Linked DNA regions of Caenorhabditis elegans. The protein of the gene in region 1 interacts with the protein of each later gene in a biochemical or structural test. Each region holds a gene or a part of one and is shown in the gene's direction. Other genes may lie near its edges.

Evidence for each region.
Region 2: the proteins of chc-1 (region 1) and dnj-25 form a complex in vitro, tested with the Caenorhabditis elegans proteins (one study listed by BioGRID).

What each region holds. Positions count from the first base shown.
Region 1 is NC_003281.10:10,201,852-10,210,343, forward strand, and holds chc-1 (putative clathrin heavy chain 1), read left to right. Parts: upstream 1-1,969; 5' UTR 1,970-2,020; coding exon 2,021-2,143; intron 2,144-2,190; coding exon 2,191-2,311; intron 2,312-2,362; coding exon 2,363-2,727; intron 2,728-2,773; coding exon 2,774-2,953; intron 2,954-3,061; coding exon 3,062-3,922; intron 3,923-3,966; coding exon 3,967-4,269; intron 4,270-4,316; coding exon 4,317-5,471; intron 5,472-5,517; coding exon 5,518-6,739; intron 6,740-6,791; coding exon 6,792-7,370; intron 7,371-7,418; coding exon 7,419-7,555; 3' UTR 7,556-7,853; downstream 7,854-8,492. Other genes in the region: dbd-12 (DB domain-containing protein), read left to right, coding at 1-11, 100-195, 252-344, 391-509, 575-677; T20G5.9 (Partner of Y14 and mago), read left to right, coding at 7,997-8,075, 8,133-8,202. UniProt on the Caenorhabditis elegans protein: Clathrin is the major protein of the polyhedral coat of coated pits and vesicles. May play a role in yolk protein clatherin-mediated endocytosis by oocytes during oogenesis.
Region 2 is NC_003283.11:20,741,134-20,746,708, reverse strand, and holds the start of dnj-25 (J domain-containing protein), read left to right. Parts: upstream 1-2,362; 5' UTR 2,363-2,389; coding exon 2,390-2,434; intron 2,435-2,486; coding exon 2,487-2,615; intron 2,616-2,693; coding exon 2,694-2,857; intron 2,858-2,911; coding exon 2,912-3,014; intron 3,015-3,066; coding exon 3,067-3,127; intron 3,128-3,184; coding exon 3,185-3,354; intron 3,355-4,098; coding exon 4,099-4,323; intron 4,324-5,575.

The sequences.
Region 1 (8,492 bases):
AGTTGTTGACAGTAAGTTTGTTTCTGTACATTTGGTAGATCATGGGGATTTTACTGTAAAAAAGTCAAACTTTTAAATATATTTCATATCAATTTTCAGAATCCTAACCACTTGTTCCATGTATGCTGTGAGGAACGACAGTTGCCTCCCGCATGTGTTCAGAAATGCCATTTTAATGTTTATAACAAAGGAGTGGTAGGTTTAAATAGGTCAAGTTTATATTGTGAAATTGAATTTCAAAAATTGTATAGCTGGAATCAATGTTCTTTGGTTCAAGTGAATGCCCGATTGAATTCCTGCCAGAAATGCAATTTTGTGCGGCTCAAGGAAAAGATCATAGCCAGGTAAAAGGTCGTTGAAATCTGCTCAATAACTTCTTACTAGTTTCAGTGTTGCTCACAAAGTCAGGTGGATGCAACGACGGCTGGAAGTAAATGTCTAACCTTCTGCGATCAAACACCCGATCTCTACACTCCAATTGATTACAGCTATGCGCCTTGCCTAGACAGGTTTCCATATCTTTTTATCTTCCAATTCTCGAGGCAAAAGTCATGTTGAATTAAATTGGTTGCAGGTTCGAGGACATGAAACGATGCTTCTATGATAATGTGAAGTCGGATGCAATCACACATTTCGAGGCGAAAAAGAGTTTGCAGGATAAGAGTACATCTTATTAATTGTTTTTGATTTTATATTTACTTAACTTGAGATTTCGAAATAAAATGTGCGATTTCGCAATACCCATCACGACATACTTTGTATTTCATTTTCCATTAAAGCGGAACTATTACACATTTGCGAATTTCTGTGGCAATTGCATAAAAAAACCGGTACCGGGTCTCGACACGAAAGATTCTCTTAAATGCAAAAAGTGTGATCTTCGGTCCGTGGAGTACTGTAACTTCCAGCAGGGCTAATACAAGAGAATTTGAACAGAAAACAATACATAACATTTTTATTCAAAAATGCCAAAAAATTATAATACAATTCAATTTTGAAAACAGTTTTTCGTTGTATTTTGGACCAAAAAAATCGGTTTTTTTTTGCGCAACGTTGTTGGATTCTCAACGTGTTTTATCTCAGTTTTTCCTTGAATTTCGGTAAAACAGAACAAAAAATGAAATGTTCAAAAAAAGTGTTCCAAACTACAGTACTCCTTAAAGGCGCGCACACTTTTAAATCAAAGAAAATTGGTCGTGTCGAGACCCCGTACTGTATTTTTTGTGTAAAACTCGAAAAATTTCCGTGTATGAGTGATCTACTGATTGAAATTGAGAAAACAAAGTTTATCCGCAGATCAAATTTGTTTTTTTTTTCTTTTCAATATTTCACGGCAATCATTTCTTAATCCAAACACGTAATTCACTGTCGTAATTGCTGATGACTCATTCATTTCATACGAACGCTTTTCTTTTGTCAATCCTTCGGCCGTACAAACATAAATTTTTCCTTGTGAAATTAAAAACTCCGCCCAAAGCGAAGAAAATTCCCAGAAGAAATTCGGCGGAAAAGCGCGCTCTACCGAGAAGCGGGGCGCGTCGCGTCGCGTGCCCTGTGATGACAGGGCGACTTGTTCAAGCTTGGCAAACAGGAATCATTTCTCTCGATCAACTGGCTTCTGCATGTTTGACAAAGCTCTCTCTTGATAAGACATTTCCGTTCAATTGTTTTATTTTTACGTTTTCCCTCTTTTTAGGTGCGCTATGAGTCCTCAAAAATTTTTCTTTACTCAGCAAAGAGTTCTAACTTTTGGAATTACAATTTTTCCTTCATTTCAAATCATTCACAGTAATAACAGCGGCCAAAGCTAGCTTTAAAGCTGTATATTTTTCCATTTATTCCTTCAATCTACCGATATTCACTTCTATTTCCCGGAAATGTCTCACTTTTGTGATAAATTTTACGTGACTCATCTTTTTATTTTTATCGTGTTCTCTTTTCTTTTTTTTTCAAACATCTCCATTTGCAGGTATATAATTTATTGTAAGAAGTTTTTCCATTCTACACACAGTTTTCAAAGATGGCGCTCCCAATCAAATTTCACGAGCACCTGCAGCTTCCGAATGCTGGAATTCGGGTGCCCAACATTACATTCTCCAATGTCACAATGGAATCTGATAAGAACATTGTTGTTCGTGAGATGGTAGGTCAAATAATCGCAATTAACTGTTCTAAACGGATAATTTCCAGATTGGTGATCAACAACAGGTTGTGATTATTGATTTGGCCGACACAGCGAATCCAACTCGTCGTCCAATTTCTGCTGACTCAGTAATCATGCACCCAACTGCCAAAATTCTTGCTTTGAAATGTTAGTTTTCAGTACCATTTGACTCTGAAGCTTATTTATACCTTTTTTCAGCTGGCAAGACACTTCAAATTTTCAATATTGAGTTGAAAGCAAAAGTGAAAGCTCATCAGAATGTAGAAGATGTAGTTTATTGGAAGTGGATCAGTGAGAAAACGATTGCACTCGTTTCCGACACAGCCGTCTATCATTGGTCGATCGAGGGTGATGCAGCTCCAGTCAAGATGTTCGATAGACATCAGTCGTTGGCCGGAACTCAAATCATAAATTATCGCGCTGATGCCGAAAACAAGTGGCTCGTTCTTATTGGAATTTCCGCAAAAGACTCCCGTGTCGTTGGAAGTATGCAATTGTACAGTACCGAGAGAAAAGTATCGCAGCCAATCGAAGGCCATGCCGCTTGCTTCGTTCGATTCAAGGTAGGACTAATTCGATGATGGATTTGTCATATTAATAATGTTTTAGGTCGATGGAAACCAAAACCCATCTAACTTATTCTGTTTTTCCGTCAAAACCGATAATGGAGGAAAATTGCACGTTATTGAAGTAGGAACCCCAGCTGCTGGAAACACTCCTTTCCAAAAGAAGAATGTTGATGTTCCATATACCGCTGACACAGCTGGCGATTTTCCAGTGTCTATGCAGGTATGTTGCTTATAGTCGTATAAACAAAATTTGATATCTTTCTGATTGATTGTTTATAATTTCAAAAGCTGAATGGTGTTGTTTATAAAATAAATTGTTGGTTTTCAGGTATCTGCGAAGCAAGGAATTATTTACCTGGTAACAAAGCAAGGATATGTTCATCTTTATGATGTCGAGTCTGGAACACGGATTTATTCGAATCGAATTTCGACTGATACCGTATTTGTGACCTGTGAATACACAGCTACAGGAGGAATAATGGGAATTAACAGAAAGGGACAAGTTCTTTCCGTCTCTATCGATGAAGCTAACTTGGTTCCGTTCGTTACGAACCAGCTGCAAAATCCAGATTTGGCTTTGAAGTTGGCCGTGCGTTGTGATCTGCCTGGAGCTGAAGAGTTGTTCGTTCGCAAATTCAACTTGTTGTTCAGCAACGGACAGTTTGGAGAATCAGCCAAGGTTGCTGCATCGGCTCCACAAGGAATTTTGAGAACACCAGCCACCATTCAAAAGTTCCAGCAGTGCCCGTCTACTGGTCCAGGACCATCTCCACTTCTTCAATATTTCGGAATTCTTCTCGATCAAGGAAAGTTGAATAAATACGAAACACTCGAGCTGTGTCGTCCGGTCTTGGCACAAGGAAGAAAGGAGTTGATAACGAAGTGGCTCAATGATCAGAAGTTGGAGTGTTGTGAAGAATTGGGAGATCTCATTAAGCCGCACGATGTGAATACTGCTCTTTCAGTCTATTTGCGTGGAAATGTCCCGCACAAGGTTGTTCAATCTTTTGCTGAAACTGGACAATTCGACAAGATCGTAATGTATGCCAAGCGTGTCGGATTCCAACCAGACTATTTGTTCCAACTTCGTCAAATTCTCCGTAATTCGAATCCTGATCATGGAGCAAAATTCGCTCAACTTCTTGTCTCTGAGAGCGAAAACGGAGAACCACTTGCTGATCTTTCACAGGTAACGAATGAGAATAAGGATTTGGCTAATTTAAACCTTTTCAGATCATTGACTGTTTCATGGAGGTTCAAGCTGTTCAACCATGCACTTCATTCCTTCTCGAAGTTTTGAAGGGTGATAAGCCGGAGGAAGGACATCTGCAAACGAGACTTCTTGAAATGAATCTGCTCGCTGCCCCAGCTGTTGCCGATGCTATTCTAGCCAACAAGATGTTCTCTCACTACGATCGTGCCGCTATCGGACAACTCTGCGAAAAGGCTGGACTTCTTCAAAGAGCTCTCGAACACTTCACTGACCTCTACGACATTAAGCGAACTGTTGTTCACACCCATCTTCTCAAGCCTGATGTGAGTTTCTAATTAGATTTCTAAAATAAATGCTAATTTATTTTCAGTGGCTCGTTGGATATTTCGGAAGCCTTTCTGTTGAAGATTCGGTCGAATGCTTGAAAGCCATGCTCACTCAGAATATCCGACAGAACCTCCAAGTCGTTGTGCAGATTGCATCCAAGTATCATGAACAGCTCGGAGCTGACAAGCTGATTGAGATGTTCGAAAATCACAAGTCATACGAAGGTCTTTTCTACTTCCTTGGTTCGATTGTCAACTTCAGCCAGGACCCAGAAGTTCACTTCAAGTACATTCAAGCTGCCACGCGCACAGGGCAAATTAAAGAGGTTGAGCGTATCTGTAGAGAGTCGCAATGTTATGATGCCGAACGTGTCAAGAATTTCCTTAAGGAAGCCAAGCTCAACGATCAACTTCCTTTGATCATTGTCTGCGATCGTCATAACATGGTTCATGATCTTGTTCTTTACCTGTACAGAAACCAGCTCCAGAAGTACATTGAAGTCTTTGTTCAAAAGGTTAATGCCGCCCGTCTTCCGATCGTTGTTGGTGCTCTTCTAGATGTTGATTGTAGTGAAGATGCTATCAAACAATTGATCATTAACACTCGTGGAAAGTTTGACATTGATGAGCTTGTCGAGGAAGTTGAGAAACGCAATCGTTTGAAGCTTTTGAATCACTGGCTTGAATCGAAAATCCAGGAGGGAGCGACTGATGCTGCTACCCACAATGCGATGGCCAAGATTTACATAGATTCTAACAACAATCCCGAACGATTCTTGAAGGAAAATCCCTACTACGATAGCAAAGTTGTTGGAAAGTACTGCGAAAAGCGTGATCCTCACTACGCCTTCTTGTCATACGAACGCGGACAGTGCGACGCTGAATTGATCAACGTGTGCAACGAGAATTCACTATTCAAGAATCTTGCAAGATATTTGGTGAAGAGAAGAGACTTCACTCTGTGGGAGCAAGTTCTCAACGAAGAGAATGTTCATCGTAGACAGCTGATAGATCAAGTGGTTCAAACTGCTCTTTCCGAAACTCAAGATCCCGAAGACATCTCTGTGACTGTTAAGGCATTCATGGCTGCCGATTTGCCGAACGAACTTATTGAACTTTTGGAAAAGATTGTTCTCGATAACTCTGCATTCTCGGAGCACCGTAATCTTCAAAATCTGCTCATTTTGACTGCAATGAGAGTAAGTTAATTATTTTAGAAAACATATTCGATCAATCCACTTTCAGGCCGATAGAACTCGTGTGATGGAGTACATTCAAAAGCTTGACAACTATGATGCTCCAGATATTGCTAACATTGCTATAACTTCTGAACTCTACGAAGAAGCGTTTGCCATTTTCAAGAAATTCGATGTGAACTCAAGTGCCATCAATGTTCTTATCGAGAACGTGAACAATTTGGATCGTGCTTACGAATTTGCTGAAAAGTGCAACCAGTCAGATGTCTGGGCATCTTTAGCCAAGGCACAGCTCCAACAAAATTTGGTGAAGGAGGCTGTCGATTCGTTTATCAAGGCCGATGATCCAGGAGCGTACATGGAGGTTGTGAACAAATGTTCTCAAACGGAGCACTGGGAAGATCTTGTTCGTTACCTTCAAATGGCTCGCAAGAAGAGTCGTGAGTCATACATCGAAACGGAACTCGTTTTTGCTCTGGCCAAGACTGGTCGTCTCACTGAACTTGAAGAGTTTATCGCTGGACCAAATCACGCTCAAATCGGACAAATTGGAGATCGTTGCTTTGACAATGGAATGTTCGATTCCGCTAAGATCCTTTTCAACAATGTTTCCAACTTCGCCAAACTTTCCGTTACTCTTGTTCGTCTTGGAGAATATCAAGGAGCTGTCGATGCTGCACGCAAAGCCAACAGCACGAAGACATGGAAACAAGTGTGCTTCTCTTGTGTCGAGAATGGAGAGTTCCGGCTTGCCCAGATGTGTGGACTTCACATCGTTGTCCACGCTGATGAGCTTGAGGAATTGATCAACTTCTACCAAGATCGTGGACATTTCGAAGAGCTCATTGCTCTTCTCGAAGCTGCATTGGGTCTTGAACGGGCTCACATGGGAATGTTCACCGAACTCGCGATTTTGTACTCGAAGTATAAGCCAGAGAAGATGCGTGAGCATTTGGAATTGTTCTGGAGCCGTGTTAATATTCCAAAAGTTCTTCGTGCTGCCGAGCAGGCTCATCTTTGGTCCGAGTTGGTGTTCTTGTACGATAAATACGAAGAATATGATAACGCCGCACTGACAATGATGCAGCATCCAACTGAATCTTGGAGAGAGCAACATTTCAAGGAAGTCATCGCTAAAGTCGCTAATGTTGAGCTATACTACAAAGCAATGCAGTTCTACCTGGATTATAAGCCACTTCTCCTGAATGACCTTCTTACTGTGCTATCGCCTCGGTTGGATCATTCGCGCACAGTTTTGTTCTTCAATAAGCGTAAGTTTAAATTTCGTTTAGTTTTTAAACTTTTAATAACAATAATTTTCAGTGAAGCAAATCCCACTGGTCAAGCCTTACTTGAGACAAGTTCAAAACTTGAACAACAAGGCTATCAACGAGGCTTTGAATCAGTTGCTCATTGATGAGGAGGATCACGCCGGGCTTCGTTCTTCTATTGAGGCTCAAGACAACTTTGACAATATCACTTTGGCCCAACAACTTGAGAAGCACCCACTTGTGGAATTCAGAAGAATTTCCGCATACTTGTTCAAGGGAAACAACAGATGGAAGCAATCGATCGAGCTTTGCAAAAAAGACAAGCTGTACAAGGATGCCATGGAATACGCTGCAGAATCGAGAAACGGAGAACTCGCCGAAGAGCTCTTGTCATTCTTCCTGGATGAGAAACTTTATGATTGTTTTGCCGCCTCCCTTTACCATTGTTATGATCTCCTTCACCCCGATGTCATCATGGAGCTCGCTTGGAAGCATAAGATTATGGATTACGCCATGCCTTACATGATCCAAGTTATGAGAGATTATCAGACGAGACTTGAGAAGTTGGAGCGTTCTGAGCATGAGAGGAAAGAGGAGAAGGCTGAGCAGCAACAAAACAATGGAATGACCAGTGAGTTTTAACAAATATTTAGAATTTAAATTTATTTGATATTTTCAGTGGAACCACAACTTATGCTTACCTATGGTGCCCCTGCCCCACAAATGACTTATCCAGGAACAACTGGTGGCTATGGCGGACAGCCTGCTTACGGTCAACCTGGACAACCAGGATATAATGCCCCTGGATTTATGTAATTCGATAGTTTTATCCCCATTTTCTTACCCCCACCCCCTCACTTTCTCCCCGCATCAATAATTATATTGTAATTTATTGCTTGATGTCTATACACTTTTTTTGTTTAAATTATGATATTCTATTTCTATTTATTCCGTCCCCTATGAAATTGTGATGGTTGTATTCTAATCCGTGAACTTATCCTTAAGGTTGTTGGTCCGATGTGTCGTCTCTCTCAGTTCTGCCCGTTTTCAAAAAAAAGTTGATCACAACTCTTTTAAACCACCAGAACCATCATGAATAAATTAATTCGTTGTTACCAATCGCGTTCGAGTTTCGGATGAAATACTGGTTCAGTCCATCATCATAACATTTTAGTTTTACGATTTTAACTTTTTGTATTATTCACTAGCTGAATTTTTTAAATTGAGATCTAGAATAAGCCATTTTCAGGCCGTATAATGTCTACTAAGCCCGCCGCCGCGAAGACGAAGCCATCGTGTAGTGAAGGTGGTGATCTACGTGTTGAGACTGAAAATGGTTCGTAGATTAAAAAATTCCACCGCGAAGTTTTGTATAAATTTAATTATTTTGAAGGTGAAACATTCATCACAGCAACACAAAGAGCCGACGGAACTTGGAGAAAAGCGAGACGAGTGAAAGGAGGGTCAGTAATCTGGCGATACTGGGAATATAATACCGCTTGTCGATTTACGAAGAATTTTGTACTAGACGTGACAGAAATTTCGATTTTTCGGCTGTTTTTGCTGATTTTTAGGCGAAATTTTGAAAGAAATATCGTAGTTTTTCCGGGGAATTTCATAATTTTCTCACAAAAAGTTGTATATTTTACCGTTGTGTTGTTCGTTAAATTATTCCTAATTTAATTATTTTGAATTAAAAAGATTGTACAATTGAAGCCAAATCTGTAAAACAATGCGAAATTGCCACTTGTCC
Region 2 (5,575 bases), on another chromosome or scaffold:
ATGCTGCACAATCATAATAATAGCTTCACGAAAATAAAAAGGTGATAAAATTCTTCCCGCAAAAAGCAGTCTTCTTCTCACAACAAAAGAAGGTGTTTGGGACAGCACCGCGGCTTCGAGAAGATGGCCCCTTTTGTGTCTACAGTACCCCCATCGTCTTCTTTTCCGCGCAAGCATCATGTATTGGGGCGTTTATAGTGTCATAAAATTGGAATGTATCTGGTTTTGTGTTGGAGACGTGGGGGTTGACATTCAATTTTTGAATGTGCCGGAAGATGGGCTGTCTGGAGTGAAACAGGGGTTGAGAGATTTTTAAAAATATAGTAAATCTGTAAATCTCTGCGGTTTTAGAACTTTTAATTGTCATTTAGGTTCACTGAAAAATGACTTCACTGCCAGCGGTATATAATCGATTTTACCCGACTTTGTTATAAATCGCCAAATTCGGCTAAAACACCCTTTATGATTGAGCTTCATGCACTTCAGACAGTTGAGTTTTTTCTACATGGTTACATAATCACTCCTACCACACAACAATAATTGTATATCCCCTGTTGGTCTGGCAAAAAACAATGTATTCAACTTTAGCACATTTATCAATTGAGAAAATTTTGTATTTCTCTTTTTGTTGTTTTCACTTTTCAAATTAACATCGATATACACTGTTATAATAGACTAATAGAGTTGCAAGAGAAATATAAAATGTTTTGATAGCCAATCATAGTCTGAACATAAAAATACATTTTCAAATCTCGAAGGATCAATTACAACATGCACGTGGATAATAATCTTTCTTAATTCATTCTGGATCCTGGAAACCAAAACCATAATCTTCATTACATAATCATCACCTCATTTCCATTCGCCGAAAGTTATGCACAGGACTCATAATCTCCCGGCTGGTCCGACCAGAAAATTACGTCATGAATCCAATGGCCACTTGAGTAACTTTTGCGGCTCTTTCATGTTAACTTAGGCTGAGAGCAGGTGAAGAGATTCGGGAACATATTTCAGCATGTTTCAGGTATTTCTTTCAGATTTCAGATAGGTAATTTATTTTAGCGTTGTTGTTATTCCGAACTAAACATTGAAATTTCTGCACTTCTTTATTGTAATGATGCTTCTGTGTCTGACTTGGCATTTTCAAAAATAATGGAATGGTGGAGAATTGACAGCGCAGACCATTGTTAAGACTATGACTGTGCAGTTTATTTGCACAGCACTGTCTGGCACACTCTCTTCATATCACATGGACTCTCTCTTGCTCACCCTTTGACACGGATTAGGTTAGAGGCATACCAGTGGGAGTCAGAGTGCTCAGAAAAGTAGTTGCCATCGTGGTAAGAGTTCTGAAAAGCATCGAAGGTTTTTTAGGGACCAAGGAAATATGAATGGAGCATGTAAAAATACTTGTAAAACTGTAAAAAATAACTCAGCCCAAAACTGAGGGAACCGTACTTTCTGAAAGAAATATGTATGAATACCGATGTTTTTAGGTTCAATCAAACAATTTATTCGGATTTTTCACGAAATATTACAGAGAGTGTGACGTTACATAATAATGTTCACTGTTTGACGCAGTCACGAGCTTCCAAACAATTTTATATTATCGAGACGCAAAGATTCACAATTTTCGCGCCAGAATAGCACAACCTGGTCTCGACATGACAAGTTTTAGTTAAATGCGAAAAGATGTGCGCCTTTAAAGAGTACTGTAACTTCGAATTTTTCTTGTTGCGGAATTTGTGAATTTTCATCGCTTTCTCATTGTATTTCGAATGAAAAATTGGCTTTTTTGACAAACTTAGACACAAAAATAATGCTCATTAAATTTTAACAAATCGAGGAAAAAAAATATTGTGAAATGTGAAAAATTCCGCAGAAATGAGACGCTTTCCGGTGGCAACTTTCCCACAATTTTTCACTGATAGAATGTAAATTTTTGAATTAATATCACTTTCAGAAGTTTTTATACATTATTTTCTCCTTATAAAGTTTGTGTGAATCACATTTTCGGCCGAAAAAACCGGTTTTCCATGGAATGCATGCTTCCGATGCTTTTCGCTTTTATTGGCGGATGGTTACGCAACCTCACCGATTTTATCTCTATTTTCCGCACTTTTCTTCTCTATTTCCAAAATTTTCAGCCTAGTTTATTTTTGAAATTTCAGCAAAATAATTAATTTCCTCACAAAACTGGCGAAAGGGCTTTTCGTTTCTCTGCCGTCTCTCTTTTCGCACGCTCTATAAGCAAGTGTCCGTGAAGCGCACTTGCACCCGTTTATTTTCACAACACGTTTTCAGATAATTTTAGCTATTTTTCATTGATTTTCAGTAGTTTTTACAGCTATTATAATGGTATTTTTTAGTAATTTCCAGTATAAATCCGATGGTATTTGACGAAGAACCTCCAGCACAGAAGAAATGGACCCAGGTTGCGAAATTTTGCTTATAAAACTATAAAATTCGATATTTTTATCTTTCAGCAAGCTACGACGTCTGCGTTCGGTCTAATGGAGTCGCTGAAGGGTCAAGGATCGAGTTTGGCGAAAAATTTGAAGAATTTCGGGAAGTCTCTGGTGAAAGAGCACAAAAGTCAAGGAGCCACGACGCCGGTGAGGTTTTCGGCTGAAATTTGGTCAATTTTTAGCAAAGTTTACATTTTTTTAAAGCAATAATTGTTTTAAATTCAGCCCGAGCACCGCGATGACGATATCCGCCTCACGTGGCTCACTAATCGGATTGTGCTCGCCGACACGTTGCACAAATCGAAAGAAGGACTGCTCAAAGCAGAAACGGCCGTCGTTCGAGAAATGATTGATTGTCAACCGTATGTAGTGGTTAATGTTCATGCTGAGTAAGTTTAGAAAACTCGAAAATGTTCACAAAAAATAATTTCTAATAAATTCAGACCACTGAAGCTGGATGGCTATGCAAAATCAGTTCATGTTCCGTTGGGAAGTGCGGCAAAAGGTGGACTTCCGAAATATCCAACAATTCAGGCATTAGTACCGGTAATTTCTCTATTAAAAATATATATTTAAAATAATTTTCAATAAATTTCAGATTCTCAACGAGTATTGCTTGCTAACTAATGACGCGGCAATTGTGATTTTTGGAAATGATGGTACTATTTTTGATTTTTTAAATTAGAATTCTATATTTAAAGCTCAATTTTTTTCAGAAAACGTTCAAATAACCGCTGCCTTCTGCCTTATCGCTTCTCGTACCATCTCAAGAGTCTCCGAGTTTATGTCGGATTCACTTCCGAATCGATTTGATCGCCTTCCAGTTACATATCATTTATTTTTGGAACAAACTAAACACGTCTGTAAATATCACGCACGGCGGCAGGTAATTGTTATTTTTAAAAAAGGAAATCAAAAAAAGAATGGGAGATTTTCAATTCAGAGAAAAGCACACATTTTAAGCAAAAACTGAGGAAAAAAACCGAAATAAATAGCTTTTTCAATAAAAATTATCAAAAAACGGATTTTATCAAAAAACGGATTTTACCAAAAAATTTAAAATTACCAAAAAATTGTATGTTTCACAGAAAATATCGGAATTTTTTTGTATTCGACTAAAATTCTTGATTTTGAACCAAATCGAAAAAAGACATTTATAACACTCAAAAAAAAAACAAGAAAAGCTGTTAAAATTGTGCTTTTCGCGGCGAGACTCATCCGAACTCATCCGTTCGCCTTTAAGTAGGAATTTTGAAAAATTCGGAATAACAATAGCTAATTCGCACATTTTAAGTAAAAACTGAGATTAAAATGGCCAAAAATTAGATGGAAATTATCAAATATTTAGCGTAGTCAGTCTATGTTGGAGAAAAAAGCAAAAATTTTCAAAAAATTATAACAAAAGAAAAAAAGAGTCTAATTTTGATTTCAGATTTTAGCAAAATTTGCATTTTTTTTTCGAAATGTTGACCAGCCATAAAAAAATTTTGAAAAAAGCAAAATACCCAAAAACTCTACTCCCCTTTAATTAAAGAATACAAACTTTTAAAGAAAAAAAAGTATCATATACACATTTTTCAAATTTCAGCGAAACTCGAAAAAAATTTAGTATAAAAATCATAATTTTCAGCAACTACAATCCGGCGCAATATTAAATCAAATAATCCTGGAACCCGGAACTCTCCTAATCGACGGAGATCTCTACGTTGCAATTCAGCAAGGTATAAATCAACTGAAAGTTGTGGAATTCTCAGCAAACTCCTGCCGAAATCGACAAGGACAACTCGTTTTCAATATGGAATCCACTGAAACAGTTGACGATGTGGTTATTTTCTTGGGAAAGAAGTCCGATGTGGTAGGTTGGCCCCCTGGGGACATGGAAATTGCAAAATGTGACAAATTTCTGCAGAATTTTGCTAAAAGTTCTAGAAACGTCTATGGCGTTATGTTAAACGTAATCTTTCTAGAAACCAAAGTTATTGTTCATGAATTCTTTCACTAGGAATGTTTTAGAGAAATGGTTTAAACCAGGGGTGGGCGGCAAACGATATTGTCCGGTAAATCGGCAAATTGCCGGAATTGAAACTTCTGTCAAATCGGCGAAGTTCCGGAATTGAAAACTTTTGGCAAATCGGCAATTTGCCGGAATTGAAAATTTCCGGCAAACCGACAAATTGCCAAATTTGTCAACAAAAAATTGCCGAATGGCAATTGCCGTCCACACATGTTTTAAACAATACATTTTGCATTCAAATTAGTGCAAAAATTGATATTTTCCTTCAATGGCAAAGTGAACGGGGTCCACTTGAATACCCAGGGTCTTACTTTTTCCAGAAAGCCCGCCGCTGTCTCTACGTGTTTTCGTCATTGCTCTTTTTGTTTGAGCTTGCTGTTTTGCTTTCTTCAAGACCTAAAGTTTTCTTGAATTCAACCAAAAGCATGTGTGGTTTTTAGTTTTTCCGGTTCAATACCAATACTACCCACCTGTTTTTCAGTGAAAAACCAGCACATTTACCTCAATTAATAATGATTAATCCGAAAACCGGTCCAATACAACACCTGCAGTAGTAGCCAACCGGCCATCTTCCCTAGTAACGGGAAACCTTTCACATCCGACTGACCTACTACTCTCCCCGTGCCGTGTACTATGTCTGTTTACCTATTCGAAATGAGATTCTTCGTCTGTCCGTTTTCCCGCCGCCTCATTTGGATGAAAGAATATGACTGAACAATAACTAAATGAGAAAGCATTCGACTGAGAAAGAGACCACGACGGCTTATTGTTGTACCCAGAACCCCATTATGGATAGCTTAGAGGGTTCACAGGTTTATGTGGATTTTCCGGCACATTTCTTCTTTCAATAGCTCTATTTGGTGTCATATCCTCTACTCGAAGGCTTTTCTTCTGTTTTTGACATTTTTTTAAAAGAGATTTTGGTAATTCCCTTACCGTAATTTTTACATACGGCACCAATCATGGTGGGTAGCAAACGATTTTTCCGGCAAATCGACCAATTGACGGAATGAAAAATTTCCTGCAAATCTGCAAATGGCCAATTTGCCGGAAAATCGGAATTGACGAAAATTGTTGGCAAATTGTGATTTTC